Nothobranchius furzeri: one gene and its partner. The protein of the gene in region 1 binds, or shares a complex with, the protein of each later gene. Links are inferred from orthologs where the notes say so. Each region holds a gene or a part of one and is shown on either strand. Other genes may lie near its edges.

Region 1 (3,653 bases):
AAAGAACGAGATCGTGGATACAAGCGGCTGAAATGAGCTGACCTGCTAGACTATGCCTCTCAGCTGGCCAGGGAACGCCTTAGGATTGCCCGGAGGAGCTGGCTTAAGTGGCTGGGGAGAGGGTCTGGTCTGGGCGTCCCTGCTTAGGCTACTGCCCCATGACCCGGCCCTGGATAAGCAACTGAAAATGGGAAAAAAATGAGAGATTTAAAAGCAAAAACTGTCTTTTTAAATAAAAAAATGCTTTATTGCTGTAAAGACACTGACGCCTGTCACTGACTCGATGCAATCTGCTGGGTTCCTTATATAGGAAACGTTTTACTGATTTTGTCTTAATGAACTGAACTGTATTGGAATATTTACAGTGTGAAGTGCCTTGAGATGACTCTTGTTGTGATTTGGCGCTGTATAAATAAACTGAATTGAAAAATCTTCTTTTTTCCTCTTGTGTGTAAAACTAGATGAGACTTCTTCCTCTGTGCGTTTCTGTTCTGACATCTGTCATGTCATGTGTCCTGTAGGAGATGGCTGCAGTGTCGGCCTTTCTGCAGAGTGGAGCCCCCAGACCGTACCCGTCGCATTACATGGACACAGCAATACAAACCTACAGAGATGTCTGCAGGTACGAGCAAGTCACACACACACACACACACACACACACACACACACACACACACACACACACACACACACACACACACACACACCAGTCTGCCTGCTGTTTACTGTTGCACAGTTTCTACTTACAAAGTGTGTTAGGGTTGTTGTACTGGTAACAAACCATTCTGATTCAGCCAATGGGCTTAGATACTTTAGATACACATCTAACAGGTTCGATCAGTGCTCCTTTCATCTTATTCTTTACCTGCCAGGGCAGAACAGGATGAGAGGAAGTGAATTTCTCTACATCAAACAGCTACTTCAGTAAAGCGTGCAAGCTCTGCAACAAAGCAGGTTCTGATCGCTCCATTGATGGCTCTCGGTGAAAATACATATTTTTTTCTAAATGGACTTAAATACATCTATCTACTCCTGATTCTAATAAAGCCAGAGTCCAAATAATCCAAAATTGATGTAAAAGCTATTCCAAACGAGCTGTCGCCATCTTGTTCCACTCTGTTGCATCATCCCGCCCTCCAGACGAATAGAGGGTCCTGACTGGCCCACAAAGCAGATAAAGCGCAGTGATTGGTTCATAAAGTAGATAGAGTGCTATGATTGGCCCACCATTATAGACCAATCACAGCTCTCTGTGTTTGAAACCCCTCTAGAGAGCTGTGATTGGCCAGCCAGAATGCTGCTAGGGGCTGCAGAGGTTCCAGTGGAGCGTTTCTAGACCAAACTGTGCAAAGCAAGCATTTGGTCTAGTTCACTAGGCTAGAAAATCGTATTGCAGTAGTGGAAACACTGAACCAAAAGCATGAACAAGTACCTCCAGCTCAGGACATGACGCAGTAGAAGTGAGTTTAGCCATATTACGATAGAAGAAGCCATCTGAGTCACAGGTAACACCACAGAAGAGCTTGTTAAAGATTTTAAAAAAATGTTTGTTCTGTTGGTCCAAACTCCCACACTGGGCTGCATACTGACCTGTGAAATCAGTGTTTCGTGTCCCCAATAGGAACATGGTGCTGGCGGAGCGGTGTGCTCTATTGAGCTCTGAGATACTGAAGAGTCAGGGAAAATACTCAGAGGCTGCAGCGCTTCTCATTAAGATGACCAGTGAGGTGAGAAAACATTGTTTCTGTTGGGGATTACAGCTGTAGTAAAGTGCATGTTGGTTGTGGACGTTTAGCTGTTTTAGCAGTGATTAAAATCAGAGAAATCAAGTGTGTGTGCGCGCGTGTGTGTGTGTGTGTGTGTGTGTGCGCGTGCGTGCGTGCGTGCGTGCGTGGGTGTGTGTTTTTCCCCCTGCAGGACTCTGACCTACGCAGCGCTCTGCTGTTGGAGCAGGCAGCCCACTGTTTCATTAACATGCGTAACCCAATGGTGCGCAAGTTTGCCTTCCACATGATCCTGGCTGGTCATCGTTTCAGCAAAGCGAGACAGGTAAGCCTCGCACCTGTTCTACGTTCTCTACTACTTCTGCCTTATTGATTCTGTTGTTGGTTCACAGACGTGTCTCACCTTGTCTCTTTCTGTTTATCTCCAAAGACGAGACACGCTCTGCGCTGTTACTGCCAAGCCATGCAGGTGTACCAGGACAGGGGCTGGTCCTTGGCAGAAGATCATATCAACTTCACCATTGGCCGCCACTCTTTCACACATGGTCAATCAGAGGATGCTGTGATGGCTTTCAGACAAATCTTGATCAATGACAGCCGACAGACGGCCACACAGCAGGCTGCCTTCCTCAGAGAGTACCTCTACGTGTACAAAGTAAGTCCTAAATACTGCTCCTAGTTTGGTGAGCTAAGCTTCGGCACATTACATAATCGGAGAGTTAATAATCCCTAATCTGACATCCTGTTTGCTGTTGTTCAACTAACATCATTGCCTAGTAGCGTAACTGATCTATCATTCCCTTTAGCTCAGACCAACTGGAAAAATCAGCAACAATGTCAGTCAGGCAGTTTACTCTGTGTATATGGATCAGTACCGTCAGTCTCACATCTGCTCAGGTCCAATCCTGACCTCTGGATGCTGAATGGGGCTGGTCCCAGCTGTAGATTTAGTGAAATTAGAATATTGTCATTATATTTTATAGGAAGAAATTAAATAACATGTTTTTTTTTTTAAGAGTGTGAATGGAGAAAAGAAAGGATGCCTCCCTGAGCTGCCGCTGCCCTACATCCAGAGCTCTACTACCAGGGTCTTCTTTGGACACGAGCGACGCCTCGCAGAAGGTAGCGCACAGATTCATCACTTTTCTCATTCCGTCCTTCGTCTCCTTCACGTCCATGCTGCTGTGCGAGTCATGTGACCCGGGCTGGGAGCTGAACATGGAGACATCTAGACTAACAGACGCTGAACTGAAGTGGCAGCTTCAGCTACATTAGAACAAGCTGTTAGTCCTCTCTGAACTCTAAACCAGAAGGCTGCTGCTGTTGAATAATCATCTAATTATTAATTACCGTAAATCCTCTAATACAGGCCCGGGCCTGTATTTGACTCAAGCTCCAGACCTTTATTGGAAGGAGGACCAGAATTAGAGGCAGGCCTCTATTTCTATTTGAGCAAAATGAACTAATGGTTCACTGGAGTTTTTGACAATTAAAATTGCGCCCACATTTTCAAAGTTAAAAACATTTTTTTTAACAACGGTAGTTTCTGCTTCAGCCATCTCCCCCCTCCCCCTGCGCTGCGGCCGCAAACTCACTGATGCGCCTGCAGCCTCTCGGAGTTCCTGCTGCTCTAAACATTAAAATAATTATTTCATTTTCTCTTCCTCACTTCTGATTACCTTCAATGGTGTCTGTTTGTTGCAACCAGCAGGTACAAAAACTAACTTGTTTTTATTTGACTATTTTTCTGTCCTGTCTGTTTATTATCTTCCTGCATCTCCTCTCAATCCTAAAGAAAAACTGCTACCTGGGTTCATATATATTCACCTCATGAGTTACCTTTGAACTGCAGTTCTAAAAGATCTACCGACCGCAAAAACAGCGGAGTGCTCGCTGCTTGCCGGCCGCATCAGTGATCGGTGCGCCACC
Region 2 (3,346 bases), on another chromosome or scaffold:
GCTCAGGGTAATGCCCACGCGGTCCCGCTCTAAGAGCCAGCAGCTCCTGTAGTGTCGTCATGATGCCAAACAACGAGACTTCAGTGGTTTTTAAACGTTTTTCTGAATTCAGAGGAACATTTGAGAAGCTTGAAGCCTTTGATCCTGCTCTTGTGATGACTTAAAGTCCTCAGGCTAGTTCTGAAGCAACAAGCAGCACAAGACTGGATAAATAAGTCCGATTGCTGCTGCAGTTTCAGGTCTTGTCCATCATGACCTCCTGAGTGGAGCACGACACCGCTGCCAGGTGGAGGACGATGGATGCTCCTGTACGGCGGCGAGTTCCTCCTCCAGATTCCCGCCGCAGCGACTTGGGTCCACCCCACAACCCTCCGCAGTTCTCACTTGCTGCTCGGCTAAAGATCTGAGGTTCACTTCCTGTAAAACTGGAATCTTTACACACGTAAGCAGACAGAGAGAAGTTTGTTTTAGCTCCATGATTCTTTTCTGCTGCAGCTTTAGGATCAGCAGAGCAAACACAACTCCTTTTAATCTGTATAACAAGCCAACGTGTTGATGCAGATGTAGGAACTCCGGTTTTCCCAGGATTAAACCCCGGTTCCGGTCTAGACCAGTTTGAGGCACTGCGTGTTGAAGCTGTCGCCCTCCCGGCAGGCCACGGCCTCCAACAACGCCTGTTTCTTCTGCGTGCTCCGGGACGACTCCAGCTCGTACATGGTGGTCAGGTTGAAGAGCACGCTCTCGTGGAGGTAGAGGGCGGGGTCCTGCTGCACCAGGCCCTCCAGCTGACCCAGGGACTCCTTCAGCCGGCCCAGGTATAGGAGGCAGACCGCTGCGTTGTTGTTGGTCTGCAGACAGAGACGTGTGAAATCGTTGCTTTTTAACTAAAGCGAACCTGCTGCATTCACTCACGACGGGGTGTCGGGGGTCGATCTTCAGCACTTCTAAAAAGGAGGCGTGTGCTTCGGCGTAGCTGTTCTGACTGAGGTAGACGAAGGCCCTGAGGAGTGAAACACACAGATCATCGTTGGGGAGGAAGACGGTGTTTTTATAACTCACTGAAGGTGTTTTTGTTGGTGCACCAAGGGGCCAGTGGACACACTTAAACCAAACGGTTGCAGCTCAGTCACTTTTACAGGCATTAAGCTCAAATCTGTGATAAATCCACCATTTCACGAGAGAGAGAGAGAGAGAGAGAGAGAGAGAGAGAGAGAGAGAGAGAGAGAGAGAGAGAGAGAGAGAGAGAGAGAGAGAGAGAGAGAGAGAGAGAGAGAGAGAGAGAGAGAGAGAGAGAGAGAGAGAGAGAGAGAGAGAGAGAGAGAGAGAGAGAGAGAGAGAGAGAGAGAGAGAGAGAGAGAGAGAGAGAGAGAGAGAGATTCTTGTCTCATTAATGAATTGTTTATTTTTTTTCAGTATTTAATTGACGAATTATCCTTTCAAATAATTAATTGATGAGTTACATAATTGTCCATTTAGAATTGTTGAATGGACTGAGTCAAGTTTGGTGCACTTTATATATTTCAAAACATGTTTTTTTTATTTTAATGATGCATATAAATAATTTAAATGTTAATTTAATGAAATATTTCTATTTTTTCATTACCTCACCCTTGTTTTGACAAAAACGGGACCTTGCTGGATAATATCATGGAGAAACTATTTGTTCACAGTACTTGGCTCAGTGAGGATCTGTGTACCAAAGGAGGAGATACTCAGAAATCTGTCTGCAGATTGTTACAACCCAGACTGGAAGTGGTGGGCTGTAATAAGAAAGGAGACCAAACAGAGGAGTGGGGGTTCAACAACTGATTTATTTAACCAAAGTAAGGATTTACTAAAGCAGATCAGTGCAGTCAAGAATTACTGGTGTTTGGGTAGTCCTGAACGTGTTGTGATGCCCCCACCGTCTCATTGGGTTTTCATTTGTGTTTAATTGTGTTTTTCTTCTGTTGTAGGCAGCTGGTTAAGCAGCCTTGGAGGCACCTGGGCTCAGGGTGTGGTGCTGCCTACAAAGCCTACTGTTTTTCTGCTTTCACTGGGTCTCTCCTGTGTGGTGGAGAGTCCTCACTGGCCATTTTCTGTTCACTAACTTGCTTTAGTAAATCCTTACTTTGGTTAAATAAATCAGTTGTTGAACCCCCACTCCTCTGTTTGGTCTCCTTTCTTATTACAGCCCACCACTTCCAGTCTGGGTTGTAACAATCTGCAGACAGATTTCTGAGTATCTCCTCCTTTGGTACACAGATCCTCACTGAGCCATGTACTGTGAACAAATAGTTTCTCCATGATATTATCCAGCAAGGTCCCGTTTTTGTCAAAACAAGGGTGAGGTAATGAAAAAATAGAAATATTTCATTAAATTAACATTTAAATTATTTATATGCATCATTAAAATAAAAAAAAACATGTTTTGAAATATATAAAGTGCACCAAACTTGACTCAGTCCATTCAACAATTCTAAATGGACAATTATGTAACTCATCAATTAATTATTTGAAAGGATAATTCGTCAATTAAATACTGAAAAAAATAAACAATTCATTAATGAGACAAGAACACCTCTCTCTCTCTCTCTCTCTCTCTCTCCACAAAAAATGTAATTTTATATGGTTAAAACCATCTAGCTGATGTGCACTTTTTAAAACACTGCCCAGCAAACATTCGGACGTTTAATGACAGTTGAACGGTCACAACTGTAAAATACCTGAAATTAAGAAAAATTAACATGACATCTACGACATTTTCCTTGCCCGGACTCGAACCTGGATCCTCCGGGGCGAGAGTCACCCGCTCTCCCAGCTGAGCTATGCCAGCAACTACTGAATCTCAGACTTTTTTATATAGATAGAGGGTAAAGTGTGGGGTGAACTAACCAATCAGAGGACAGAGAAGATCTGCCACAGGCCACGCCTCCAGAGTGCCAAAAGCCCTTACAGCCGAGCGAGCAGGAGTCAGAAACCGAGCGCGCAGAGAGGCTGCCGCGCGCGCACGTTTTCCTCTGCCGTGTGCTCGTTGACAACGCGCGCACGCAGGTTTGTCACTTGTGCACATCCTTGTGCGCTCACAGACACAGTTTGCTCCCTCTCAGTGCACAAATGACCTCTCGCCATGTATATTTCCGCTCGCGAGTCCCGTTCACACGCGCGCTGTGGACCCAATGCGCGTGCACGGGTTGTGGCACGCTTTAAACGCCATAGAACGCCTTGGGGTCCTGCCGGAGGAGCTGGTGGAGGCGGCCGGGGGGAGGACGGCCTGGAGCTCCCTAGTTGGGATGCTGCCCCCGCAACCCGGACCCGGATAAGCGGAGGAAGACGACGACGACGATGTTTTCCAAAAGGAGTTGTT

Evidence for each region. Proteins that work in one complex are often made in the same cells at the same time.
Region 2: trappc8 (region 1) and trappc12 share a complex: the UniProt entries of both Homo sapiens proteins name them as parts of the multisubunit TRAPP (transport protein particle) complex. The link is inferred for Nothobranchius furzeri from reciprocal best matches to the Homo sapiens genes TRAPPC8 and TRAPPC12.

The regions. Positions count from the first base shown.
Region 1 is NC_091756.1:54,984,032-54,987,684, forward strand, and holds part of trappc8 (trafficking protein particle complex subunit 8), read left to right. Parts: intron 1-521; coding exon 522-622; intron 623-1,621; coding exon 1,622-1,727; intron 1,728-1,917; coding exon 1,918-2,049; intron 2,050-2,154; coding exon 2,155-2,379; intron 2,380-2,740; coding exon 2,741-2,846; intron 2,847-3,653. UniProt on the Homo sapiens protein: Plays a role in endoplasmic reticulum to Golgi apparatus trafficking at a very early stage. Maintains together with TBC1D14 the cycling pool of ATG9 required for initiation of autophagy. Involved in collagen secretion.
Region 2 is NC_091758.1:44,447,372-44,450,717, reverse strand, and holds the end of trappc12 (trafficking protein particle complex subunit 12), read right to left. Parts: intron 2,143-3,346; exon of another isoform or gene 1,956-2,142; intron 1,824-1,955; exon of another isoform or gene 1,317-1,823; intron 1,001-1,316; coding exon 913-1,000; intron 849-912; coding exon 606-848; downstream 1-605. UniProt on the Homo sapiens protein: Component of the TRAPP complex, which is involved in endoplasmic reticulum to Golgi apparatus trafficking at a very early stage.